7 linked regions of the Oryctolagus cuniculus genome follow. The protein of the gene in region 1 interacts with the protein of each later gene in a pairwise test. Links are inferred from orthologs where the notes say so. Each region holds a gene or a part of one and is shown in the gene's direction. Other genes may lie near its edges. The genes, in order: TFIP11, CCDC121, KAT5, KANSL1, METTL17, NFU1 and CCHCR1.

What was found.
Region 2: the proteins of TFIP11 (region 1) and CCDC121 interact in binary tests that used the Homo sapiens proteins (3 or more experiments, as listed by UniProt). The two-hybrid records come from large-scale screens. The link is inferred for Oryctolagus cuniculus from reciprocal best matches to the Homo sapiens genes TFIP11 and CCDC121.
Region 3: the proteins of TFIP11 (region 1) and KAT5 interact in binary tests that used the Homo sapiens proteins (3 or more experiments, as listed by UniProt). The link is inferred for Oryctolagus cuniculus from reciprocal best matches to the Homo sapiens genes TFIP11 and KAT5.
Region 4: the proteins of TFIP11 (region 1) and KANSL1 interact in binary tests that used the Homo sapiens proteins (3 or more experiments, as listed by UniProt). The two-hybrid records come from large-scale screens. The link is inferred for Oryctolagus cuniculus from reciprocal best matches to the Homo sapiens genes TFIP11 and KANSL1.
Region 5: the proteins of TFIP11 (region 1) and METTL17 interact in binary tests that used the Homo sapiens proteins (3 or more experiments, as listed by UniProt). The link is inferred for Oryctolagus cuniculus from reciprocal best matches to the Homo sapiens genes TFIP11 and METTL17.
Region 6: the proteins of TFIP11 (region 1) and NFU1 interact in binary tests that used the Homo sapiens proteins (3 or more experiments, as listed by UniProt). The two-hybrid records come from large-scale screens. The link is inferred for Oryctolagus cuniculus from reciprocal best matches to the Homo sapiens genes TFIP11 and NFU1.
Region 7: the proteins of TFIP11 (region 1) and CCHCR1 interact in binary tests that used the Homo sapiens proteins (3 or more experiments, as listed by UniProt). The link is inferred for Oryctolagus cuniculus from reciprocal best matches to the Homo sapiens genes TFIP11 and CCHCR1.

What each region holds. Positions count from the first base shown.
Region 1 is NC_091452.1:20,276,962-20,280,461, reverse strand, and holds part of TFIP11 (tuftelin-interacting protein 11), read left to right. Parts: intron 1-2,583; coding exon 2,584-2,737; intron 2,738-2,985; coding exon 2,986-3,142; intron 3,143-3,500. UniProt on the Homo sapiens protein: Involved in pre-mRNA splicing, specifically in spliceosome disassembly during late-stage splicing events. Intron turnover seems to proceed through reactions in two lariat-intron associated complexes termed Intron Large (IL) and Intron Small (IS).
Region 2 is NC_091433.1:175,379,016-175,383,171, forward strand, and holds the start of CCDC121 (coiled-coil domain-containing protein 121), read left to right. Parts: upstream 1-1,356; 5' UTR 1,357-1,546; coding exon 1,547-1,884; intron 1,885-2,479; coding exon 2,480-3,422; 3' UTR 3,423-4,156. Other genes in the region: GPN1 (GPN-loop GTPase 1), read right to left, coding at 438-531, 1,185-1,295.
Region 3 is NC_091432.1:6,000,398-6,003,703, reverse strand, and holds the end of KAT5 (histone acetyltransferase KAT5), read left to right. Parts: intron 1-583; coding exon 584-724; intron 725-804; coding exon 805-898; intron 899-1,626; exon of another isoform or gene 1,627-1,920; coding exon 1,921-2,080; exon of another isoform or gene 2,081-2,157; coding exon 2,158-2,614; 3' UTR 2,615-2,806; downstream 2,807-3,306. Other genes in the region: RNASEH2C (ribonuclease H2 subunit C), read right to left, coding at 2,875-2,901, 3,006-3,125, 3,199-3,306. UniProt on the Homo sapiens protein: Catalytic subunit of the NuA4 histone acetyltransferase complex, a multiprotein complex involved in transcriptional activation of select genes principally by acetylation of nucleosomal histones H2A and H4.
Region 4 is NC_091448.1:17,098,815-17,102,314, forward strand, and holds part of KANSL1 (KAT8 regulatory NSL complex subunit 1), read left to right. Parts: intron 1-2,744; 5' UTR 2,745-2,827; coding exon 2,828-3,500. UniProt on the Homo sapiens protein: Non-catalytic component of the NSL histone acetyltransferase complex, a multiprotein complex that mediates histone H4 acetylation at 'Lys-5'- and 'Lys-8' (H4K5ac and H4K8ac) at transcription start sites and promotes transcription initiation.
Region 5 is NC_091443.1:53,913,165-53,917,248, reverse strand, and holds the start of METTL17 (ribosome assembly protein METTL17, mitochondrial), read left to right. Parts: upstream 1-1,284; 5' UTR 1,285-1,361; coding exon 1,362-1,442; intron 1,443-1,595; coding exon 1,596-1,749; intron 1,750-1,838; coding exon 1,839-1,973; intron 1,974-3,067; coding exon 3,068-3,149; intron 3,150-3,373; coding exon 3,374-3,455; intron 3,456-3,795; coding exon 3,796-3,869; intron 3,870-4,084. UniProt on the Homo sapiens protein: Mitochondrial ribosome (mitoribosome) assembly factor. Binds at the interface of the head and body domains of the mitochondrial small ribosomal subunit (mt-SSU), occluding the mRNA channel and preventing compaction of the head domain towards the body.
Region 6 is NC_091433.1:133,215,517-133,219,643, forward strand, and holds the start of NFU1 (NFU1 iron-sulfur cluster scaffold homolog, mitochondrial), read left to right. Parts: upstream 1-1,327; 5' UTR 1,328-1,343; coding exon of another isoform or gene 1,344-1,405; 5' UTR 1,406-1,519; coding exon 1,520-1,719; intron 1,720-4,127. UniProt on the Homo sapiens protein: Iron-sulfur cluster scaffold protein which can assemble [4Fe-4S] clusters and deliver them to target proteins.
Region 7 is NC_091436.1:139,347,023-139,349,894, forward strand, and holds part of CCHCR1 (coiled-coil alpha-helical rod protein 1), read left to right. Parts: intron 1-2,534; coding exon 2,535-2,647; intron 2,648-2,801; coding exon 2,802-2,847; intron 2,848-2,872. UniProt on the Homo sapiens protein: May be a regulator of keratinocyte proliferation or differentiation.

The sequences.
Region 1 (3,500 bases):
GGTCAAGGAACTGAAGCCAGGGGTCTCGTGCCGAGGCAGAAGCTGTGCTAGCTTTGCAAGCTGGACCTCTCTGACTGGAGGTCGGGCTCCTGGGCACTCAGATACTGCGTCTTTTAGGGAAAAGGTCCCTCGGTGCACACTGCCCCGGGGATGTTGAGTGACGCGGCTGGTCGTTTTGTAGGGCTCACCCCATTTTGTAGTATTGCCTGGGGTTTTCCTTGGATTTTTCTCCCCACTCTATTCCTTTAAGTAAACAATGGAAATAAATGAGCTTCAGGCTAACGGAGGAAGGGACCAGAGGTTAGCGGCCGGCTGTGAGTGCTGGTCGGAAGTAGTCGGGGCTCACGGAGCACAGCTCATTCACAGCTGTCCCAGGTGTTCTAGCTCAGGGCTCACAGAGCACAGCTCATTCACAGCTGTCCCGGGTTCTAGCTCAGGGCTCACGGAGCACAGCTCATTCACAGCTGTCCCGGGTGTTCTAGCTCAGGGCTCACGGAGCACAGCTCATTCACAGCTGTCCCGGGTGTTCTAGCTCAGGGCTCACGGAGCACAGCTCATTCACAGCTGTCCCGGGTGTTCTAGCTCAGGGCTCACGGAGCACAGCTCATTCACAGCTGTCCCGGGTGTTCTAGCTCAGGGCTCACGGAGCACAGCTCATTCACAGCTGTCCCGGGTGTTCTAGCTCAGGGCTCACGGAGCACAGCTCATTCACAGCTGTCCCGGGTGTTCTAGCTCAGGGCTCACGGAGCACAGCTCATTCACAGCTGTCCTGGGTGTTGTAGCTCGGGGCTCACGGAGCACAGCTCATTCACAGCTGTCCCGGGTGTTCTAGCTCAGGGCTCACGGAGCACAGCTCATTCACAGCTGTCCTGGGTGTTGTAGCTCGGGGCTCACGGAGCACAGCTCATTCACAGCTGTCCCGGGTGTCTAGCTCGGGGCTCATGGAGCACAGCTCATTCACAGCTGTCCCGGGTGTTGTAGCTCGGGGCTCACGGAGCACAGCTCATTCACAGCTGTCCCGGGTGTTGTAGCTCGGGGCTCACGGAGCACAGCTCATTCACAGCTGTCCCGGGTGTTCTAGGTCAGGGCTCACGGAGCACAGCTCATTCACAGCTGTCCCGGGTGTTGTAGCTCAGGGCTCACGGAGCACAGCTCATTCACAGCTGTCCTGGGTGTTCTAGCTCAGGGCTCACAGAGCACAGCTCATTCACAGCTGTCCCGGGTTCTAGCTCAGGGCTCACAGAGCACAGCTCATTCACAGCTGTCCCGGGTTTCTAGGTCAGGGCTCACAGAGCACAGCTCATTCACAGCTGTCCCGGGTGTTCTAGCTCAGGGCTCACGGAGCACAGCTCACTCACAGCTCTCTCCTATGCTTTCTTAGTTTTCATTCTCATATACACATAGTGGATATGAACTGCTTCTGAGCTTGATTAACATAGTTGTTAATATACTTTACATTCAGATAACCTTGGATTTCACTTATTATGACTTTATCAAAATTTCTACTCTTTTGATTTTGTCCTTAAAATTGTATTTGGAACAAATGCTTTTTGAGCTAAATTAATTTTTTAATGTAAAATGAAAATAGGATTAGTTTTTTACTTATAGAACAACCCTTAATTTTCTTTAATTTTTTTTTCTTTGCAAGGCAGAGATGCACAGAGAGAGCTGCCTTCCTCTACTTCACTCCCCAGTGCCTGTAATGACCAGGAGTTGGGCCAGGCACAGGCCAGCTGTGAGGACCTCACTCCGGTCTCCCGTGGGGTGAAAGGATAGGAACTCTGGTCACTGTTGCCTTCTAGGAGCTGCACTAGCAGGAAGGTGGAATCTGGAGCTGGGAGTGATCAGCAAACCCAGCTCTCCGGTGTGGGATGCAGCCATCTTAACCACTGACCAGACACCCACCCTGCATATTGGGAATTTATAATAGCTCTGTATTGGCATTGTGTACCCTTTAGTGATAGATCTGAATTGAACATGTCAGTTTAAAAAATGTTAAGTGTTAGGGCCGGCATTTATGGTACAGTGGGTTAAGCCGCTGCCTGCGACACCAGCATCCCATTTGGGTGCCAGTTCAACTCCTGGCTGCTGCACTTCTAATCCAGCTCCCTGCTAATGCGCTTGGGAAAGCAGCAGCAGATGGCCTAAGTACTTGGGTCCCGGCCACCCATGTGGGAGATACAGGTGAAACTCCTGGCTTCGGCTTGGCTGTTGGGGCCATCTAGGAAGGGAACCAGCAGATAGAAGATCTCTCCTCTGTGTCTCTTTCTCTGTAACTCTGCCTTTAAACAGATAAATAAATCCTTTCAAGCAGTGTTGATATTCTGATACATGAGGAGATTGAAAATATTCATGGAAAATGAATATTATAAAAATTATGCATACATTTCAGGGTTTGTGTGTGTGTGTGTGTGTGTGTGTGAAAATAAACTTTTCCCTGAATTCCCTCTTGCCATGAACTTTCTGAGGCAGACGTTTGCTCCTCAGATGTGTTCCGTGGGGGCCACCTCCTGGCGCAGGCCGGGGTCTGGGCAGGGCGGCTGTGGAGGAGCCTTCACCCCTGGTCTCGGTGTCTGCCCACAGCCCCCGGGACTACTCTGCGCCGGTCAACTTCATCAGCGCTGGGCTCAAGAAGGGGGCAGCGGAGGAGGCGGAGCTGGACGACTCTGAGGACGAAGAGAAGCCTGGAAAGCAGGAGGAGCTTCCGAAGGATCTGGGCCCCAAGAAGCTAAAGACGGTAGAGTCTCTGTCGCGGGGCTGGGCCGCGGTGGCCTCTCCTGGCAGGGGGACCTGGTCACGTGGGTTTCTGTGGCCGCAGGTGCGTGAGGCGTGGGCGCGCCGCGTCTCTGCATCCTGGCGCAGCGCAGACACCTGCCCCGGTGCCCTGTAACTGCCGGGCTGCTTTCCCAGGGCCAGGCTTCCTCGGACTTTGCCGCTTTCTCCTTCCTTTCCCTGCAGTCAAGCTCTGGCCTTTGTTCTCTGCAGGGGGGCAATTTTAAGCCCAGCCAGAAAGGCTTTGCAGGAGGAACCAAGTCGTTCATGGACTTCGGCAGCTGGGAAAGGCACACGAAAGGGATTGGGCAGAAGCTTCTTCAGAAGATGGGCTACGTGCCCGGCAGGGGCCTCGGGAAGAACGCACAAGGTACCGCGCCGCCCCAGCCCGCCCGCCGAGGCCGCGCCCTGTGGCGGGCACTGCTGTGTCTCGGCTCTCCTCGGCTCCGCCAGCACAGGGCGTGCTGCTCTCAGCGCCCTCTCCTTATCAAAACTCGCCCTAGACACAGCATGCGTCCTAGCAGGAGGAGAAGGGGTGCAGGGTGCAGACAGCCTTCTGTGTTGGCCTGACTCGTGTTTCTGAAAAGTGAATGGGTTGCCAGCATTGAAAAATCCGCCTAGAACCTTGGATTCTGCCTGAAGTGGTTTGCTGAGTCAGCCCTGAGACGCCCCACTGCAACACAGCCTGTAGCACAGGTTTGCAGCCCACCCCACTGCAACGCGGCCTG
Region 2 (4,156 bases), on another chromosome or scaffold:
TATGTGGTCTTTTATTGTATTTGGGGTATAAAAAGCTTGGGGGTGGGGGACACAGGCACTGTGGGGCAGCAGGTAAGGGACTGTGCTACATATGGAAGTACCCCCCATATGGAAGGGCCTGGGATCAAGTCCCACCTCTACCTCCAATCCAGTTTCCTGCTAATGAGCAACCTAAAAGGTAGCAGATGATGGCTCAAGCACTTAGGTCCCCGCCACCACATGGGAGGCCAGCATGGAGTTCCTGGCTCCTAGCTTTAGCCTGGGCGTTAGATAAAGGCCAGTGTTTAAAAAGGAGAATGTTTTATAAAGAAGCCTGTTTAGGGACTGAAGAACATCCAAGAGAGATAAAAGTACGAAGTTCAGAAAATAAAAAAAGTCCCTGAAGACTGGCAGGCTGGAGGCGTTCCCCTCTCTGCGTTAGGGCACAGTGTACTCACCAATGTTGGCAGGAAAGGGGACTTCGTGCACAGCCGGGTCCAGATTGATCACATAGGGCGGGGAACCTTGGCTGTGCAAGTGCCCAGTGAGCCGCTGCAGACAGGAAGATGGGAGGGGGAGGGAGAGGAGGAGGGGGTGATCAGGAAGGGCATTTCCACTCCTTCACCCACCGCCCTCCAGCCACCCGAAATATCCACCCTGCTTCCAACATCAAATCTCGGCTCAAACGCTACTTTTCCTTATCACTCACCTGACAGAGCCTCCCCTACTCTTGCCCACTTATTAACTTGTATTGCAAACCCATATGGCGAGTATCTTTCTATCTCCTCCATGAAAGTAAAAACCTTGTCAACCGCATTTTCTCCGTATCCCCCATGCCTGGAACATGAGAGGGGCCCCAGAAATAACTTTTTTCGCAAATCTTCACCGAAACCCAATGGGTTAACACCGAATCTATCTACTCCATGCCTTGTGAGTCTGCCTTCGAGAGGCTGGCAACTTCCCCAGCAAACAGTTCCAACACAACGTGGTAAGTCGAACCAAGTGTGCACAGAAGAGGGCTTCAATGAACACAGGCGCGGGTCCGCTATGCCTCAGCCCACGAAGCAGCCGGAGTTCGGTGAAGTCCCTGAAAACCACGCGCCGGTGTCCTCCAACTCCCCACGGACTTCCGTCGCTTTCTCCCTGGCCTTCTGCCCGCCACCACCTCTCGCGCTGCCCTACCCCGCCCGCGCAGTGTGCGTCACCTGGACAAAGGTGGTTTTCCCGGATCCCGCCATCCCCAACACCAAGAGGCACACGGGGGGCCGAGGACCCCCGGACGCCTGGGGCTCCGCCGCAGCCGCGAGCGCCGCCATCTTTGCTCAGGCCCCGCCCCTCACCACAGAGGCGCGGCGTGGCTAGAGAGGCCTCCGCGACGTTCTAGATTGGGCGGAGAATAGAGTCGAACGCCGCCGAGAGGCGCCGGCCAGCGGGTGCCGAGTTTCTGCTGCGGGCGGGCTAGTGACGCCGGGAGAGAAGTGAGGGGAGCAGAGAAGCGAGAGGAGAGGGCTAGCGGAGCCGAAAAAGGAGCACTGCCCGTCGCTGGCTCCTCGGAGCGGGAGACGAGATGGGCTCCCAAGGGCCGAACCCCCACCACACGAAAAAGAGGGGCGTACGTCTCATTTTGGGGTCCCAAAGAGCTAGGACCGAAGACGCTGGTCTGCCGCCTGCTAGAGCTTGTTTGGCACCCGAGGAGATTAAACAGCTCAGGGCTGGGCTGACCGGGGCGGGGGCTAAATGGGACGCTTGGGGGTGCTGGGCAGCGCGGAGACCCGTCGAGCCGCAGACTGAGCAGCTGCAAGACCTTTCCGCCTTCACGACCCCCGACGTCAGCGCGCGCTCCTCGGCGACCACCCTCCGAGAACTGCGCAGCTACCGCTGTCAACAGCTGGATTCCAGGAGCAAGTGAGTGCGGCCACGGAAAGAGGATGAAGGAGCCCGAGAAGTATCCCCGCTCCCCATCACCGTCCCGCGTCCGACGATCTGGGTTTCATACCCAGGCGCTGCCACTGGTCAGCCGTCTGGTTTCTTGTTCTTTAAAACGGACACTACGCCGCGGGGTTGCAGGGAATGCCTATTGCAAATTGTCGGCGGTACCCCCAGCATCTTCAACCCTGGTTGTATTTCCCGTGGCTTGCAGAGTGTTTGGAACGTAGTAGGTCTCCAAAATACTTGTTGAGCTGCCACTTGGGACACCAGCATTCCGTATCTGAATGCCTGGGATCAAGTTCCAACTCCACGTCCAGTCTAGCTTCCTGCAATGCGCCTGGGAGGCAGCAGTTGGTGGCCCAGATACTTGGGTCCCTGCCACCCACGTGGGAGATGCGGATGGAGCCCCAGCTGTGGCAGGTATTTGGGAAGTGAACCAGCAGATGGGAAATCTGCCTTTCAAATAAGTAAATAGTCGCTGTATTAATTAAGGACAATTGTGCATCTTTTATGATTGCTTAAATTTGCATTAAGAACTGACAGAGGCACGTCTCATGGGCTCTCCCTTCAGGTTTGCCGAAGGTCCCAGGAGTTCCCCTCCGTCGTACCTCAGTCTAATAAATAATCTGCTCCAGCCCCAGAAGCTAACAAGTGCGGAGATGCGCATCAGAAGAAGAATGGCGAAGGTGCGAGAGCTGGACACGCAGATTAAAGCAGCCCGAGCCCAGCAGCAGCTGTTACTGGAGGACACCAGGCAGCTGCACGAGGAGGAGCTACACTTCCAGGCGGAAAACAGGTTCTTTCTGGAGTACCTGACCAAGAAAACGGAAGAGCTGGCGAAGGAGCCCGTGAAGCTGTGGACGGAGTACATACAGGAAAGTCGAGAGATTAAAAGGGGGAGACAGAAGTTAGCCGCCAGATATGCCAAGAAGTCTGCAGTGCTTAAAGCAGAGCTCATGCAGAAGAAAAAGATACAAGCCGATTTGAAGCAGCAGCTGCAGGATCTGAGAGACATTTCGCTGTTAAAGGAGAAACAGGACATACAAATCCAGAAATTACAGGAGGAGAAAAACAAGATCGAAGCGCAGATCGCCGCCGAGAAACACGCCCAGTTCCTCAAGGAAAAGGCCCTGCTGGAGGAGCAGCTGAATGAGCCAGACGTGAGGCACTTGGGAAAGCAAGAAAGGAGGGCGCTCAGGGAGAAGACGCAGGCCCTGAGGTCGGCAGCAAAGCAGGCTGAGGTGAAGTTCTGCCACGGCATCCAGGCAGAGAACCAGCGGCTACGCAAGGAATGCTGGCAGCTAATGCGGCAATCCCAGAAATTAGAGGCTACTCAAAGCCAGTTAAGGAGCCAGAAGCAGCAGCTGGAGCAGGAACAGTGGCTTGTGCAGAGCATGCTCCGTGGGAGGCAACGGCTGCAAGAAAGACGCCATGGGTGCCCTAAAGGACAGGGTGTCCCCCAGGCACCACCGAGGCCTCCCCTGGGCGCCGCATCAACGATAAACCCCCCGTAGTTCCTCAAATACGTACCCAGCAAACCTGTTAGGAAAGGCTTTTGAATTCCAGATTGTAGTAAAATACCATACGTGTTGGTACAAAAGACTAGGTGCAGTCATGTAAGGTGACCGGCTTCCTTTAAGCAGTATTTTAAAAAACTACCTTATGTTGATAAACACAATTTTCAGACTTCCAGTTAACCTAATACCTGATAGCCCAACCTGTTTCACCATCTCCGAAACACCCCATACATCCAGCAAGTTCAGAAACACCCACTTGGGGTGTGTGATTTCATCTAGCCAAGTTAAGATTTCTTTATAGAGAAAATACCTTTAAGGACAGCATTTCACTGAATAGAGCTTTCTGCTGTATAAATAACACGGATCAGTTTACTTGTATTCCTTTTGGCCAAATCAGCAGACAAGGATGAAGTGTTTCTAAGTTCTTTTTTAAGTGTAGGCCAGTGGGTGGGTAGCTTCTTTTACAGATTCCTCGCCAGTTGAAAAAGTACTCTGATAACAGCAAGCCCACTAAGTGCTAGGTTGAATGACCTTTGAAATCTGATGATGAACCCCTACAAAAATTTCAGCTTTGAATACATTAAGGGGGTAAGAGGATTTGAATGGTGACATTTATTAAGTTGCCTCTTTTTTGTGAAATGTTCTTTGAAGAAACACTTTTAGCATTAAAGAAGTGATTGAATGCCTGTTTCAGGAAAACCTATCAAAAAAGTTTTAAAATATTTGGACTT
Region 3 (3,306 bases), on another chromosome or scaffold:
TAAGGCTAACTTGAGACTGGAGCGCGAGGGGGGGCGGCCCTGGCCTGCGTGCAGGGAGTTTGAGAGGCGGCAGCTGCCTACGCACCCCTCCGCGTGAAGTGTGGACTGGGCACCCGCGTGGCAGTGCGCAGGTGAGGAGCCAGGGGTGAGGTTTCTCCAGGAGTTGTGTGCAGAGGCAGTCCCCTGAGGGTGGGGGCCCTGCTGGTCCTCGGTGAAGAGGCAGAGCCCCGCCCTCCCTCGGGGAGCGGCAGGTGCAGCCGTGGGGTGAGTGGAGAGCTGGGTCTGCTGACAGCGACTCCCAGCACTGCCACACAGGGGCTCCCTCGTGTCCTGGCCGGAGACACTTCCTGCGTTCCAAACTGTACGCTGGTGTCCAGCACAGCAGGGCCAGGGAGCCGCCCCGGGCCCTGCTGAGACGGAGAAGGGGCGGGCAGCGGGGCAGACCCTCCGTCCCCAGGGAGGTAGCTGGACGCTGTCACAGCGCGCGGGCCCCAGGCAGGGACGACCCCACCCGCTGGCCTGGCCCAGGGGCCCTCTCGGGTGGCACCACCAGTGGGAACGGGCTCTCCCTCTCCCCCCGCAGAGTTACTCCCAGAACCTGTGTCTGCTGGCCAAGTGCTTCCTGGACCACAAGACGCTGTACTACGACACAGACCCCTTCCTCTTCTACGTCATGACGGAGTACGACTGCAAGGGCTTCCACATCGTGGGCTACTTCTCCAAGGTCAGCGCCTGCCCGCTGTCCCCGGGGGGCCCTGGGGTGGGCGCAGACCCTGCCCTCACGCTCGCCCACCCCTCCTGCAGGAAAAGGAGTCCACGGAAGACTACAACGTGGCCTGCATCCTCACCCTGCCCCCGTACCAGCGCCGGGGCTACGGCAAGCTGCTGATTGAGTTCAGTGAGTATGTGGCCGCCCCGCCCAGGGCCCGTGCACTGCCGCTGGTGCCTCAGGCCACACGCCCACGGCTGTCCCCCACTGTGCAGCTCAGCCAAGGGGGTCGGCCAGGAACCAAGCTGGGGTTCGCCGAGGTCTCACACTCCAGGGTGACTGCTCCCACCCCATCTTGGCCAGGGCCCCAAACCTCAGCCCACTCTCCCAGATCTGGCTGACCTGCTGCTGCCCACGGCTGTGGCATGAACCCGCACAGCTGAGCAGGAACCCAAGGGTGCCCACCCCCTCCGTGGTCCTTGCAGGCACAGCAGGTCAGGGTGGACGCTGGGACTGGCCAGTGTGCAGCAGGGGCAGGAGAGCAGACAAGCGCGACCGGCCCAGGGCCTTGCCCCTCGGGGTCTGGTGGGGCCAAAGGGGCTTGCGAGGAGCTAACTTCTCGTGGTCAGCTGGAGGAGGGCAGGGGCAGGGAGGCCTCTCTCCAGCTGGGAAGCGCTTGGTGAAGCTCCTTCCTCACCACCACGCAGCCCGCTCCATCCCAGAGCAGCTGGCGAGCCCGAGGTCCCAGCCAGAATGTGACGGACAGAGGGCGGGGTCTGCCCTGCCTCCCTCTGCACCCACACAGCAACGGCCAAGGACATGGGCACCCCCCCAGCCTCGGCTGACTGCAGGTGCCCCCCCCAGCACCCAGGCCAAGGGCGAGCGCCTTCAGGTGGTGGGCAGAGAAGCCACGTGGCTCTAATTCTTAAATGCTTTTCATTTTATTTGAAAGGCAGAGACAGGTCTGGTCAGGGGTTCACTCCCCAGTTGCCCACAGCAGGCAGGGCCGGGCCAGGCTGAAGCCAGCAGCCTGGAGCTCCGCAGGGCCCCACTGGGCGGCAGGGCCCCAGGTCCCTGGTCCGCCTGCACTGCCAGGCTGCAGGTTAGCGGGTGGAGCAGTGGGCGTCCGGCCCGGCCCCCTGCTGCAGGATGTGCCCGCTGCGATGCCACTGTCTGACCGCTTACCCACCTCTCCTGCTCCCCTGCTCCAGGCTATGAGCTCTCCAAGGTGGAAGGGAGAACGGGGACCCCAGAGAAGCCCCTGTCGGACCTGGGCCTGCTGTCCTATCGCAGTTACTGGTCCCAGACCATCCTGGAGATCCTGATGGGGCTCAAGTCCGAGAGTGGGGAGCGGCCGCAGATCACCATCAAGTGAGCCGGCCGCCCCCGGGGGTGCGTGGCTGTCCCCGCCCCGGGCCGCGGGAGACCTGACCTTTGCCCTCCCGCAGTGAGATCAGCGAGATCACCAGCATCAAGAAGGAGGACGTCATCTCCACGCTGCAGTACCTCAACCTCATCAACTACTACAAGGTGGGGCGGGCGGCCAGGGCCGGGCAGTCGGGAAGCCGGTGCGGGCCGGGCGCTGACCCCTGCCGGGCCCTCTCTCGCCCAGGGCCAGTACATCCTCACGCTGTCCGAGGACATCGTGGACGGACACGAGCGGGCAATGCTGAAGCGGCTGCTGCGCATCGACTCCAAGTGTCTGCACTTCACCCCCAAGGACTGGAGCAAGCGGGGGAAGTGGTGACCGGGCCTCCGGGCGCGGGGCCGGCGAGCACGGGACCCGGCGCCCCCAGCAGGCACAGCGCGCGAGGCGCGCAGGGCAGCGCCAGACGGGGCTGGGCCCGCAGGGGCCACGGGTCAGTGCCCAGGCCCGCCGAGGGCTCGGGTCAGCGCCCAGGCTGAGCTGGCTGCGGGCCCGGCCTGCCCTGACCAGGGACCAGGAGGAGCCGGGCGGCTTGTGCAGTGCGCAGGGGCTGGGGGCAACTGTACAGGACACTTTCACTGTAAAAATGGCTTTTGTAAAGTAGAAGGTGGGGGTGGGGTGGCCCTGGCTGCGGCCCCCGCACCAGGCAATAAATCGTTTCCGTAGGCGGAGCCTCCAGGGTTCTGCACAGCTGCGGTGCGGGGCGTACTGGTCGGCAGGTGGGGACGGGCTCCGGCTCTCAGTCCTCCGCCACCTGAGCGTGAATCTGCAAGAGGAGCCGCCTGTAACCGTGCGGGGGCCCGGCCGCCCCCACTGACCCCGTCCGGCGTGGGGGGCCCCGCGCCGCAGCGACCCCGCCCGTGCACTCACCGCGGCCGCGAGGCTCGGCCAAGTCAGGGCCCCGCGCACTTTGGCGTCCGGGCCCGGCACGGTCTCCAGGCCCCACAGCGTGAAGCGGCCGAAGCTGGCGGTGGCGCCCAGAAAGCGGTCCTGGGGAGGGAGGGAGGGAGGCGGCTCAGCCCGGCCCCGCCGCCGCGCCCGCCCCGGGCCCGCCGTGGCTCACCAAGTCCCGCTCCAGCGGCGCCCGCTCCGCGTCCCCGGACCCCGGCCGCCCGTCTGCCTTCTCGGCCGCCAGGACGTAGCCCGCGAAGCCGGCCGGCACCGCCACCTC
Region 4 (3,500 bases), on another chromosome or scaffold:
GCGCCGGCCGAAGCGCGCCGGCCGTGGCGGCCATTGGAGGGTGAACCAACGGCAAAAGGAAGACCTTTCTCTCTGTCTCTCTCTCTCACTGTCCACTCTGCCTATCCAAAAAAAAAAAAAAAAATTCTGATTTTTGCTTAAAAACTCAGTTTCTATTACGGCAACAAAACCATCAACCTTGAAGTGACAGGTAAACTTGTTCATTTTTCAGAAAATGTGTAGCTATCCAAGTTTGAACAATCTTATTTTTTCTGTCAGTCGTTCTGCCTGCTTATAAAAGCAGTATTCCATGAAAAAATTGTAGTTCAGTTGTGCAGGGCTTTTTCTTGAGACCTCATGATGCAGCAAAGTGCTTTGTGTGTGTTTTCTCTTTGCTTCCACAGAATATTTTTTTTTATTTTTAATTTATTTGAAAGAGTTAAACAGAGAGGTAGAGCCAGAGACAGAAGCAGTCTTCCATCTGCTGGTTCACTCCCCAAATGACCGCAACAGCCACAGCTGAGCTGATCCGAATCCAGGAGCTTCTTCCAGGTCTCCCACATAGGTTCAGGGGCCCAAACACTTGGGCCATCTTCTGCTTTCCTAGGCCATAACAGAGAGCTAGATTGGAAGAGAAGTAGTCGGGACTCAAACCAACACCCATATAGGATGCCAGCGCTGCAGGCCAAGCTTTATCCCGCTGCACCACAGTGTTGGCCCCCCACAGGATATTAAAAACAAAAGCCATGCACTTAAAAGTCAAAATTTAATAAAATTCATAGCTTTTATTCATTTATTGAAGCTAAGTGGAACTGAATTAATGGAAATTGTGAGTGAGTGGAGAATATAATTACTACAGTTTGATGCCTCTACCTTGATTTGTACTAAGTTTCCAGCATTTTTGCTCACTTTTGTTTGTGAACACTCATTGCAAATGTAAACACAGTACGGCCATGGTGGCCATTTGGGGGGTGAACCAATGGAAGGAAGACCTTTCTCTCTGTCTCTCTCACTGTCTATTACTCTACCTGTCAAATTAAAAAAAAATGTAAACACAATAAATAAGGCAGCTAATGTTAGTTTTACTATGAAAATATATCTGATTTCATGGACCTTCAAAATGGTCTTTGAGTTCCCAGAAGTCCAGAGACCATACTTAAAAGAATAGCTTTATGTAGATCTCCCTTTGTTCCTAGACCAAACTGTTCAAGGGAGGTGAAAAAGAGGCAAGTGATTGAAATTTTTGGCGTGGTTACTAAATAAAAGCAATGCTGTTACCCAAGGTAATGAAACAGGTTGAGAGGAGTGTGTTAGAAGAACAGCATGAGCTCTGAGTTTCAGGGGGCTTTGAAGATTAGAGTTGCGAATGTTGGATAGAGCAACTCAGAAAATGATTTTCTGAGAGTTAGTGGACCTCGCCATAATAATGGTTATTGCCAAGTAAGTGAGTTGAGAGAAAAGAGAAGGCTGAAGAAAGGACCTTAAGGAGCACTAAACTTTAAGGGGGCTGGAAGATGAGAATGGATGATGGCATTGTCAAGGGCACAGGGAAAGAGAATTTCAAGGTGATCAGCACTGCCTGAGGCTTCAGAGAAGTCAAATGGGAACTGAGATCATTTGGATTTGATAATGAAGCTGCTGGTGATCTTTGCCAGAAGAGTAGGGATGGAACCATGATGATCGAAGGATGAAGAGTGCACAGGCAGCTATTCATATTGTTGTTTCAAGAGGTTTTGGGGTTGGGGCTGGCACCATGGTACAGTAGGTTAATCCTCTGCCTGCAATGTCGGCATCCCATATGGGCGCTGGTTCTAGTCGCAGCTGCTCCTCTTCCAATCCAGCTCTCTGCCGTGGCCTGGGAAAGCAGTAGAAGATGGCCCAAGTCCTTGGGCCCCTGCACCCGCATGGGAGACCAGGAAGAAGCACCTGGCTCCTGGCTTCGGATCAGCGCAGTTCCGGCCGTTGCGGCCATTTGGAGAGTGAACCAACAGAAGGAAGACCTCTGTCTTTCTCTCCCTCTCTCTGCCTGTAACTCTGTCAAATAAAATAAATAAAATCTTTAAAAAATAAAAGAAAAAAATGAGGTTTGGGGGCAAAGGGAAAGAGACTTGTTGGCAATTAATTTGAAAGATGGACTGTACTGAGAGGACAGAGGAGACCTCAGCAAATTCATAGGCAGAGAGGAAGGAGCCAGTAAATTAAGACATTGGTGAGCATTGTGATCTGTAAGAAAATAAAATTGATGAAGCCAATTGGCATTACAGGTGAGGTAAAATTAGCCTGTGGCACAAGCTTTACTTAGAAAGAAGTGAGAAGCTAATGAAAACTGGATCTTGTGGCCAGAAAAATGCAGACATAAGACATTTGTCATATAGCTTTTTCTTACTAATTTTTAATTTAATTATTGGATGTTTGGTTCGGTAGATTGGCTTTAAATGTATCGGTCGGTGTCAAGAAGTTCAAAGAAATTTTTCTCTTAAATGCATATGAGTTGACTTGATTAACTCTTTAAGAATGGAAAATTTGGGCAGCTTTCAGGTTATGGTCACAAGTGACTAAAGGAAGGGTAGAATATTCTTTCTCTTTGCTGGAATTGTACCCTCCTCCCTCCCCTGGATAAAAGATCTGGGTCTCCAGAATGACTCCAACATGTTTTCTGTGTAGCAGCATAGTTGGTACAATAGCCTCAAGTAGAGCTTGTATTAGAAACATGTGTTGTTTTTGAATGTGCTTGTATTTCTAACTTCCTTTTCTTTTTCTTCTAGTCTGTTCTCAGGGGAGGCAGAAAGGGGCCGAGGAGCTGGCCTCGGCACCGGGAGAGGCTGGACTTCCTGTCTCTGTGTGCTGAATGGCTGCGATGGCGCCCGCTCTCACTGACGCAGCAGCCGAAGCACACCACATCCGGTTCAAGCTGGCTCCCCCATCCTCCACCTTGTCCCCTGGCAGTGCCGAAAATAACGGCAACGCCAACATCCTCATTGCTGCCAACGGAACCAAAAGAAAAGCCATTGCTGCAGAGGATCCCAGTCTAGACTTCCGAAATAATCCTACCAAGGAAGACTTGGGAAAGCTGCAACCACTGGTGGCATCTTATCTCTGCTCCGATGTAACACCCGTTCCCTCAAAGGAGTCTTTGAAATTGCAAGGGGTCTTCAGCAAGCAGACAGTCCTTAAATCTCATCCTCTCTTATCACAATCCTATGAACTCCGGGCTGAGCTGTTGGGGAGACAGCCAGTTTTGGAGTTTTCCTTAGAAAATCTTAGAACCATGAATACAAGTGGTCAGACATCTCTGCCACAAGCACCTGTAAATGGTTTGGCTAAGAAATTGACTAAAAGTTCAGCACATTCTGATCATGACAATTCCACTTCCCTCAATGGGGGAAAACGAGCTCTCACTTCATCTGTTCTTCAGGGGGGTGAAGTGGAGGGATCTGAATCTGGGGACTTGAAGGGGGGTATGACCAATTGCACTCTTCCACACAGAAGCCTTGATACAGAACACACCACAATATATAGCA
Region 5 (4,084 bases), on another chromosome or scaffold:
TTTTTAGTGTTACATGCTAACACCTCCAAACACTTAGCATAAAGTTAACTAACTTGTGCCCCAACCACCAACAATATGGGGTATAGCATATTGTGTAAAAATGAAATCAGTGTTAAACTAGCTGTCACCTAACAAGATTTGTGATCTCAGGGGCCGGCACTATGGCACAGCGGGTTAAAGCCCTGGCCTGAAGCACCGGCATCCCATATGGGCCCCAGTTCTAGTACTGGTTGCTCCCCTTCCCATCCAGCTCTCTGCTATGCCCTGGGAAAGCCGTACAAGATGGCCCAAGTCCTTGGGCTCCTGAACGAACCCCTGTGGGAGACTCAGAAGAAGCTCCTGGATCCTGGCTTCAGATCGGGGCAGCTCTGACCGTTGCAGTCGTCTGGGGAATGAACCAGCGGATGGAAGACCTCCCTCTCAGCCTCTACCTCTCTCTGTAACTCTTTCAAATAAATAAAATAAATCTTTAAAAAAAATTGTGATCTTGCACATATTTAACCATTAGAAGTCTCACTTTCCTCAAGTGCAAAATGGGGCTGACAGCAGGATATGCCTTGGTAGGAACTAGATTACATAGAAGGATTTTCTTCCTTAATTTTGAAAATTTATTTTTAAACACAGAGAGAGAATCTCCTGTTGATTCACTCCTCAAATCCCAGCAACAGCAGGGGTGAAGCCAAGCCTAAGTCAGGGACTGGTCATTTAACCCGGGTCCCCTACGTGACAGGGACCCGAGGACTTGGGCCATCACCTGCTGCCTAGCAGGGTGTGCACCAGCAAGAAACTGGAATGCGGAACCCAGGAACTCTGATATGGGATGCTGACTTCCCAACAGACCCCAAGGAGAAGTTCCTAGCACATTACCTAGCATGTGGGCGTTCTCAGCAAGCGTTAGCGTTAGCTTATTGCTAACTGACGAGAAACTGACAACTAATTAAACTGTTAACTAAATTATTAATTTACTACCTTTAGTAGTTTAAATCTGGTTTCCTCACCTTTTCATTACTGCATTCTCCGGTTCACAGAGGAAAACAACTCCAGATTCAGTTCTACAGGGAGAAAAGCAACCAGATTTTGACAGCCGAAAGCCCGCCTCCGTCCCTCATGCCCCGCCCCCTCAATTTCGGGCTCTGCAGCACCCCCTTTCCGCCGATCAGGTCGGACCTGACTTCCAAGTCCCGCCCACGAACGGCTTCCGCCGCGAGTAGATTTACATATCGACTGCTTATTGGCTACTAATGAGCACTCCTTCTTCTCATTGGTTGATGCTGTCTCGAGCGAAATCCCGGAGGAAGTTCCGCGCGTCGTTGGGAGCTGAGGGTCACTTTCGTTTCTGTTTCCGGTTCGCCTGCGAAGGCATGGCGGCTGCGTCGGGAAAGAGGTTGCCCTCGATATTGGGCAGATGGCGCCGCGGGCTTCGAATGGCCCCCCAGTCCCGGGTGAGTACCTACTTTCTCTGCTCCCGAAGAAGCTCTGGGACCCTAGAGACAGCTGCGCTCCAAGAAGGAGCTGTTTGGCAGCCGCTTCCTTTAATTGAGAGCCCTCAGTCTTCCTTTGTGGCTGGCACCCAGCTTTCCTTTCTCGGCTTCCAGGCGCTGGCGGCCCTTGTTCGCGGCGTGAGTCAGGTAGATAACAAGTCCGATTTTCTGGGGAAGAAGCCTCACCGTCGGCACCCTGGCATCCTACGTCTGCCGTGCGTGCAACTGCCACAGGCACTGGCTGACGCCGCCCAGCTACTGCTACTCCGTAAGTAACGGCGGGAAAGGGGTATCCGAGGAGAAAAAGAAATGGGCCTTTGCACACAGGTAATTCTGCTTTTCATCTCTGGCCTCCAGAGAACGCAGTGCCCAATGTGGAGAAGCATGTGCAAGCACTGACCAATTATCTCTGGAGCCGACACTTGCCCGTAGAACCTGAGGAGCTACAAAGACGGGCTGTGAGTCTGGAGAAAAAGTTCCTGGAAAACGCAGGTAGGATTGAAGACTGATGAAAGATTAGGCCGGATTGAAACTGGGGAATGAAGTGCAAGAGATAATTTTACAGTCTCTCAAATAGATATTGGAGTTTCTTATTTGACTTTCCACCTTACTGGAAGATAGATTTGTTCCAGAGACTACCCTTGGGACGTGAGGAAGGGACAGAGTATGGCAATTGAAATCTGGATCCCAGTTGGGACCATCTACTTTTTTTTTTTTTTTTTTTTGACAGGCAGAGTGGATAGTGAGAAAGAGAGAGAGAAAGGTCTTCCTTTTGCCGTTGGTTCACCCTCCAACGGCCACTGTGGCCGGCGCACGGCGCTGATCCGAAGGCAGGAGCCAGGTGCTTCTCCTGGTCTCCCATGGGGTGCAGGGCCCAAGGACTTGGGCCATCCTCCACTGCACTCCTTGGCCACAGCAGAGAGCTGGCCTGGAAGAGGGGCAACCGGGACTAGAACCCGGTGTGCCGGCACCGCTAGGTGGAGGATTAGCCTATTGAGCCGCAGCGCTGGCCCATTCTTATTAAGGTGAAAGTCCCTGTAAAGTTAACTGCCTAATGCTGAAAACCTCTGGGATTGGAGAATACATGTAATATATTCACGGTTGTGAGCTCCTTCGTCTTACAGACCTTTTATTTATCTTGTGTCCCCTACACCCCCCACAATCTGGCTCTGAATGGGCATTTAGTACATACTTGCCAAACACAATAGAGTCCCTTTTCCACCTATAGGAACATTCAAGATGTCACAGTCTTAAGTTTTGGGGAAGTGAGGAAATCCACAAAATAATTGTCCTTCTCTTATCCTTTAAATCTAAATTGTATTTTCCTTTATTATAGAAAAAAATTTGTTGGGTAGGGTCAGTTAAGTTGAATATACTGCTGTTGGAGGCAAATACTATCTCATACACTCTAGGGGTGCTGGTGGTGATTATCCTTAGCTGAAATTTTTCTCTAGGTTTGGCTGCTTTCTTGAGCTTTGAGGCTTTTCCAGTGGGAGAGGGGAGAACCGGGAGGGCAGTGAATTAAATATTGGATCTGGTCTCTGTTCTCCTTAGGTCCTCACTTCCAGTCCTTGTTCTCACCGCAGACTCATCCCAGACAGAAGAAAAGCTTCGTGGAGCAGTGCTACATGCCCTGCGCAAAACCACCTACCATTGGCAAGAACTGAGGTGAGGGGGACTAGAAAACATGCAGAAGGAAGAAAAGTTGGACTTGAAAAGGAGAATGGAGCCGCACAATTGCATGATCAATGCAGTGTTTGAAAAAGTGCCTGAGTGATAGTGATCCCCAGGACCACTCTGCCCTGGGGAGTGAAAAGCTAAAGTGGAAGAGCCCTTTCCAAGATCTTATTTCCTCGCAATGGTCAGCAGGTGTGACTCTGATTTTTGTGCAGCTACAATGAAGGACTGAGCCTGGTGTATATGGCAGCGAGACTGGATGGTGGCTTCGCGGCAGTCTCCAGGGCATTCCATGAGGTGAAAAATCTGTGTCTAACTTGAACGCTCTTACCTGCTGTTCCCTTATTGATTCATAATGTAGTCTGTACGGTAGGGATTCTTAGGGTGCTGCGTAGGCTTTTATGCTTTGCTTTTTTTTTTTCTTTCTTTCTTAAAGTTCTCTTGTCCTGTAAAAGGATTCTGTGACCCAAGAAAGGTTCAGAACCACTATTTTAGGAGCTTGTTGTTAAGTGTTTATGTTGAATCTCAGAATGTGTTCACATCTTTCTTCCTCTGTCATAGTCCCCTAATTCATATTTACTAAGGCACTAAATAAGTATCTGCTTACCATACTGTGGGGTGTTGTGTGTTTCTCCAGATCCGAACTCGAATTCCAGAGTTTCAGCCACAAACCTTAATGGACTTTGGCTCGGGTACTGGCTCTGTCACCTGGTGAGTAACTTGCTTCATCCCTTTCTCAAGTCTAGTTCTAGAAGGCCACACTTAACACCAATCCAGTATCAAGAACTTGAAAAACCACAGGAAAAATAGGAAAGTTGAGAACCTAGAATGTTTCTTCTCTCCGATTAGGCGAGGCAGAAGAAGGTATATGGGTTAGGGCCAGGATTTAAAAGAAGTATCATAGTGAAAAAAGACCCATATCTGAA
Region 6 (4,127 bases), on another chromosome or scaffold:
AAGCTCAATGGCTGTGATTTTTCTCCTCTGACACTGGGACCGTCAGGACACAGAAGCCTGACTTCGGTGGTTAGAGGGGAAGGAGGTGATAAACTAGAGCCCAACACCGCACACGACTCTCCGTGCCTGTTGGCTCTGAATGAAGAAAAAGGGGATGGAGGGGATGGGGGGCGAGGCAGGATTTTCCTCGAGAAGAAATCTCAAGAAGGGAAGCTGAAGGCAGGAAAGACTGTTCTCTAACCAGGGCGGAATCCTGACTGGAAGAGCCCGGTTTTACACTTGATTCAGGGTCCAGAGCAGAGGGGAAGGCTTGTGCTGAGTAGAGGACTAAGCGGGAAGACGGCGATGCGAGGCAGTCATGCCCGCAGCACTGGGAGGACACAGCACACTCGGGGTCCAGGCCCAGGCCAGCCGCAGGCCTCAGAGCCTCAGCCTCTCCCATGCGTCTCTGGACCCTAGAAGCGCTGGCGTTGTCCGGGGTGTGGCATCCACCTGTTCCTTCTTTCAGAGCAGCGGTTCTCACCGTTTCGTCTGCATCGGTCACCAGGAGGGCTTATTAAAACAGATCGCGGGCCCCCCTATACAGAAAGATTCTGAGTCAGGAGGTCTAAGGTGATTCCTGAAAATGAGCATTTACAGCGCGTCCCAGTCCCCAGTCTAGGAACCACTGTCCTAGAAAATAACTGAGTATCCCAGGAAGGTTCTAGAAGAGTGGTTCACGGGCTTTTGTACTCTACTTTGGAAAGTAGTAAATATTCACGCTTACCAGAGAAGGGCAGCAGTGCGGTAGGTGTGTCCTCTGTGCGGGTTAGTCCAGGAGGGGCAAGCGCAGCCTACAGGATTAACGCCCAGGCCTGCGTCCGCCCCAGGGGAGGAAGGCAGGGGCAAGGCAAGAACTCTTCAGAGATGCTACGGGAGTCTTGGGGAGCAATCACTGAGCCGGATGCGGAGAGCGAGCAGGCTGCTCAAGAGGGTATGGGGCAGTTTGGAGGTGGAAAACGGCGCTCCGTCAGCAGGACAAGCCCAGCGAAGAACCCAGGTAGAAGAAAGTAAAGTAAGCATCTGCACACACGTGCGGAGAGCGTACAGGTTCACGGAAGGCGCCTGCGCAAGCCGAGCAAAGAGCTCCCCACCCTTGTTCAGGCTCACGCTGGAGGCTGGCTTTGGTTGCAAACCTCCCGGTCCACGCCAGCCTTGCTCACTCGCAGCAGCGCCACCGAAGGCCTGTAGGGTGCGCTCGTCCCAGTGCTCGCCCAGCTCTCGGCTGGCCCGCGCCTGCGCACGGCTTCTGCCCCGTTGCGAAGGGGTGAGGCCTGTCCACGCCTGCGCACTCCTGGACTAAGATGGCGGCGGCGGCCAGGCGGGGTTGGGGAGCTGCGGCTGCTGCCGCGGGGCTTCGCAGTCGGTAGGTGATGGGCCGGGAACTCGGAGGAGGCGTGCCTCCGGACCTATCCCGCCGAGCGGTCGCCGCCTCGCCGGTCGTCTCTCAAGGTGGGGGAGCGGGGACGGGGTGCATCTGATGGCGCCTCCCCCCGTCGCCGCAAGTGGGGGTTTGGTCGTGAGGGGCACGGCTGTCGGTGGGACGGCGCCGCGCTTCGCCTCGGGCTCAGACCTGTGGCCGACTGCCTGCGCTCGGGAGCCCGCGGAGCCCGGGTGTGGACACGAAATCAGAATGTCGCATCAAAAAGAACACACCTGGTCTCATTCCTCACTTTCCCGGTGAGGCCCAGAGAGAGGCGTGACTGTCCAGAGCCACGCAGCTTAGTTTGCAAGGGTTGCAGCTCCGAGTCCCCTCTCCCCTAAGCCCACGCCGTTCCTTTGTGTTCCCCTTTCTCTGGTCCCTTTAGGAGTTTTGCTTCCTGAAGACGCCGGTCAGCATCAGTTAGAGGACATGTGTGGGTGTCCGGTCGTGATTTTTACTTCAAGAGAAAAACAGGGAGTTTGGCCTCTTGACCGGTGCTAACGCTGCTCTTGACGTTTCAATGCGTTTCTTAGCTGCGGGAATTCTGTGGGTTACCCTGTCTGCCCTTCAGATGCGTCAGTAGGTGTCTTCCTTGACTAATTTTACTCGGTTTTCTAAAAAACTTCCAACTTCTCTCTGTCAGAATGTGCTTATGTAGGCACTCTGCTGCCTTCTCCGTGGGTGAAGGGGCAGGAATACTGGTCTTCCCGTGTGTTTCCAAGTTCCAGAGTATGCCCAGAGAGACTTCGCGAGTGCATTCAGGGCGTTTCAACCAGCGGTTGCACAGAGTGATAACGGTAGCAGCTACCGTTGCTGACTGTGACTGCAAGACCTGGCGCTGGCACACGGATCACAGGAGCTGTCATCCCAGCCTTTAAGAGGCAGCTGTGAGGAACTGAGGCGGAGTGCTAGTACCTGCGAACACAGGAAGATATTCTCTTCCTTAATGAGCTTGCAATCTAGTAAAAAACCAAAACAAAACAAAACGACAAATGAGAAAACAAAGAGTGCTGTCGTAGAGTCGTGTGATTTAAAGTCGTGTCCTACCTAGCTGTGGCCAGCTCTCTAGAGGGAGGGAGGGAGGCCTCGCAGAGTCCGTAATTCCCCTCCAGTGTTGTTTCCATGATGTCACTGATGCTTTCTCTGTTGTGACTCCTCAGTGCCAGTCCTTTAGTCTCTCCAGCAACATCTAGGAAACTTTCTATGGTTATGGTACCACAGTGCCTTTTGCTTATAAATCTCATTTAAAGATTACTAAAAGTAGGTAAAATTTTTAGGTAATCTGCATTCCACTTAAGTGGTACTTATTCTTCCTTTGTGACAAACAGTATTCTGTTTTTGTGGAAAAAAAAAAAAAAGTGATGTAGCCTGATCATCACTTCCTGCCTATAATAGAGAAGTGTGTGTGTTTTGAGGTTATTATAGGTGTTTGACCTAGTGGTTGGGATGCCTGCATCCCATATCAGTGACTTGGGTTTGATGCCCACCAGCAACTCTTGACTTCCTACTAATGCAAACGCCTGGAGGCAGCAGTGATGGCTCAAGAAATTGGGTTCCTTGGGGCTGGCGCCGTGGCTCACTTGGTTAATCCTCCGCCTGTGGCGCTGGCATCCCATATGGGCGCAGGGTTCTAGTCCTGGTTGCTCCTCTTCCAGTCCAGCTCTCTGCTGTGGCCCTGGAAGGCAGTGGAGGATGGCCCAAGTGCTTGGGCCCCTGCACCCGCATGGGAGGCCAGGAGGAAGCTCCTGGCTTCAGATCGGTGTAGCTCTGGCTGTAGCAGGCATTTGGGGTTGAACCAACGGAAGGAGGACCTTTCTCTCTGTCTCTCCCTCTCACTGTCTATAACTCTACCTATCAAATAAACAAAAAATAAATAAATAGATAAATTAATTAATAAAAGAAATTGGGTTCCTGACACTCACTTGGGTCTTGGATTGAATTCCACATTTTTTCTTCAGCCAGCCCCTTCCAGGCCAGTAGTGCAGGCATTTTGAGTATTGAACCAGTGTGGGGAGCAGCCCGGACTAGACTGAGTTACTGGAATTAAGACTTATTCTATGCATCTGCTCTCCCACAATATGGCGCTGGGAGAGAAGTAAACAGCTTCCACACAGCTGCCTCCAGTTCAACCAATAAACTGTAGGACTTGCTCCTGATTGGAGAGCAGCGTACTCGGCGTGTGGGCAGCCGAGTTAGGATTGGCGGAGGAGGACTATAAAGGAGGAGAGAGACGGCATGCACCAGGAACATCTAAGGGGAACATCTAGCTGAAGGAACACCTGTGCAGCCCCCCAAGAAAGCCGGCCGGCGGTGTGCCGCTCCCCTGCGGAAGTGGGGAATGTGGCCAGGGGGAACTGCCCTTCCACGGAGGTGGAAGGGATAGTAGCCAACCCGGGAAGAACCAGCAGCAAACCCGGGGAGGGCCGAGCAGACGAAAGAACAGCGCAGGGTTCAGTGTTGCTCCTCCGCGAAGAGGGGGAGCGACATAATGGTGCCGTGACTCGGATATGAAGCCTAGGCAGGGTTTAGTGTCGTTCCTCCACGAAGAGGGGGAGCGACATAATGGTGCCGTGACTCGGATAGGAAACCTAGGACGGATAGGAAACCTAGGAGGGAAAGACCGGGAAGAAGTGGGAAATTACTGGAGAGAGAGACTAGCAAACAG
Region 7 (2,872 bases), on another chromosome or scaffold:
TAATCCATGTAATGCTACATGCCTGCTGCTAGATCTCGCATCTGCAATGCCGTGCCCGGTCCCTTCTTTTTTTTATTCTTAAAGAGTTATTTACCCATTTGAAGGTCAAAGCTACACAGAGAGAGGAGAGGCAGAGAGAGAGAGAGAGGGAGGAAGGGAGAGAGAGAGGTCTTCCATCCTCTGGTTCATTCCCCCAATTGGCTGTAACAGTCGGAGCTGTGCCGATCTGAAGCCAGGAGTCAAGAGCTTCTTCTGGGTTTCCCACGTGGGTGTAGGGGCCCAAGGACTTGGGCCATCTTCTACTGCTTTCCCAGGCCACAGCAGAGAGCTGGATTGGAAGTGGAGCAGCTGGACTTGAACCGGCGCCCATATGGGATGCTGGCACTGCAGGCAGTGGCCTCACTTGCTGTGCCACAGCGCCAGCCCCGGCCCGGTACCTTCTAAGGCAGTTGCAGCCCGTGTCCCTCATGCCGACTTGGTAGTCATGGCCTTGCTGAGGCTGTCATAGAGCCTTGGGAAAGAGCTGCTTCGTGCTAGTAGCGGCCTCCCCAGGCACCGGGGTCCTTGGGATGGGCGGTAGGCGGTCCGTGTGGAGCCCTTGGTGCGGTGCTGGTGTGTAGTTTGTGCTCTGACTGTCCACGGTCCTCACAGGGCTGTCCTGGATGCATCAGGGGAGTTCTGGGGGTCAGCAGGATGGGCCTTTGCAGCCACGGCCTTCTCTTGGATTCACTCCTTGGGAACCCATTGGCTTGAACAAACTGGGAGCCATTTGCAACCTGCTCCGCACCGGCCTGGGTATGCGAGCCAGCACCCAGATTCCGCCCGTTGCAGCTGCGCCTGCCTCCAGGAGAGCAGAAAGACAGGCCGGGGGCAGGGTTTCCTGTGGTGCCCAGGGGTCAGGCAGGGTTCTCGCTGAGTTCTTGCCAGAAAGCACCAACTTTGGGATGTTACCAGGTTGGCGACACAGTCCCTAGGTGACTCAATGGCTGTGTCAGAAGATGGATCTTAAAGTTTTTCTTAAATTTATTTTTTATTTGAAAACCAGAGAAACTGAAAGAGAGAGAGAAAGATAGCTCTTCTGTCTACCAGTTCACTTTCCAAATGCCCACAGCAGCTGGGGCTTAGCCTGGCCTAAGCCAGGAACCCAGAACTTGATGTGGGACTCCCACGTGGGTGGCAGGGACCCAAGTACCAGAGTTGTCACCTGCTGCGGCCTCCCATGGGGTGCACTGGCAGGAAGCAGAAGTTGGAAGTGAAGCTGGGACCTGAACTCATGTGCGATGCAGACGTCCCGAGAGGCGGCCGTGTTGTTGACCTCTGCTCCTCACACCCACCCCTGGAAGTGGCTTTAGAGCCACGGCCTGTGCTGGGCGCTCCCACCGAAAGGGTTCCTCGCTGTACTTGCTGTGGTCACCGCTTGTTTTTCCGTCTCCGAGGAAGCTCCAGGCCTGCCCCCGTTTTCCCCTTGGGCCTCCTCCCAGGGCTCCCAGCTGAAGCCCCTCAGTTTTCATGGGCCGTGCTGGTTCTGCTTCTGGGCCAGCAGCTGATGCCACTCACAGACCTGCCCTTCACGTGTCAGGGAAACCACACTCCTGGGCTTGTTCGAGAGCTGCGCAGCAGTGATCCAAGACCAGGTGGTGAGAAATCAGCTTTAGGGCCGGCGCTGTGGCGTAGCGGGTAAAGCCACGGCCCAGGAAAGCAGTAGACGATGGCCCAAGTGCTTAGGCCCCTTCACCCATGTGGGAACCCTAGAAGAGGCTCCTGGCTTCGGATCAGCCCTGTGGATGGAACCAGTGGATGGAAGAGTTCTCCCTGTATGTCTCTCCCTCTATTTCTGTAACTCTGCCTTTCAAATAAATAAGTAAATCTTAAAAAAAGAAAAAGAAAAGAAGCCCCGAGTTTGCCTGAAAAGATAAGGCAGTCGTCTGAGGCCTTCTTGAGGGGCAGGGGCTCCTTAGACATGGAAGCTTCGGGCCGTGTTCTTCCACCACAGACGTGGCGCGGCGTCCAGCGCCAGGAATCCCAGGCCCTGGAGACGGCCTCGTGGCCTGCAGGGGAGCGAGTGGCCATCAGGCAGAGACCAGGCCCTGCGGCGTTGTTGTCACTGAGCCCTTTACAGCCTGGGGCGCCCGGGGCCAGATGGGGCTCCTTGCACCTTGCTGTGTTGATTGCAGGGCTTTTATTGGGGACACTGGTTCTCAGGATCCAAATGAGAAGTTTACTCTGCATGGGTTGTGGGACCAGGAATAGCTGTGCTTTTTAAAATATTTTTATAAGCAACCAGATCGTATTTCTGTGACAGTCGCTAAAAGGCTAAAGCTCCTCCCAGGTTTTGTTTTAGCAGCTGCAGCATAGGGCATGAGGTTGGGGCACACGTGCCCCAGGTCCTACCCCTAGCCTCTCTTGTTTCCCTTCCCTGCTTCCCCCCACCCCCACCTGTGCGACAGTGCAGGATGGGGGGAGGGGTCTGTGCAGGCCCCAGGCCCTGTGGGGGTGAGGTGCGGGTCAGCGGTCAGCGGCCTGTGCTCCTCCAGCTCCCAGGTCTGCCTCCAGAGCACCATGGCTAAGGTGGAGCAGGCGGTGGCCCGGCTGCCCAGCCTCAGTAACCGACTCAGCTATGCCGTCCGCAAGGTCCACACTGTCCGCAGTGAGTTGGGGGTGGTGGTGGGCTCTGAGCTGCATCCTGGCCCAGCCCTCTGATCCCTCGGCCACTTCCTCCTCCTGCTCACCAGCCCACACGTTTCTGCTTCCCGGACTCCCCTTGCAAACTCAACCTGTCGCTTTCCATCTTTTCTCTCCAGGTCTCATGGCTCGAAAACTGGCCCTTGCACAGCTGCACCTGGAGAGGTAAAGTGTGGGCAGTGTGTGTGTG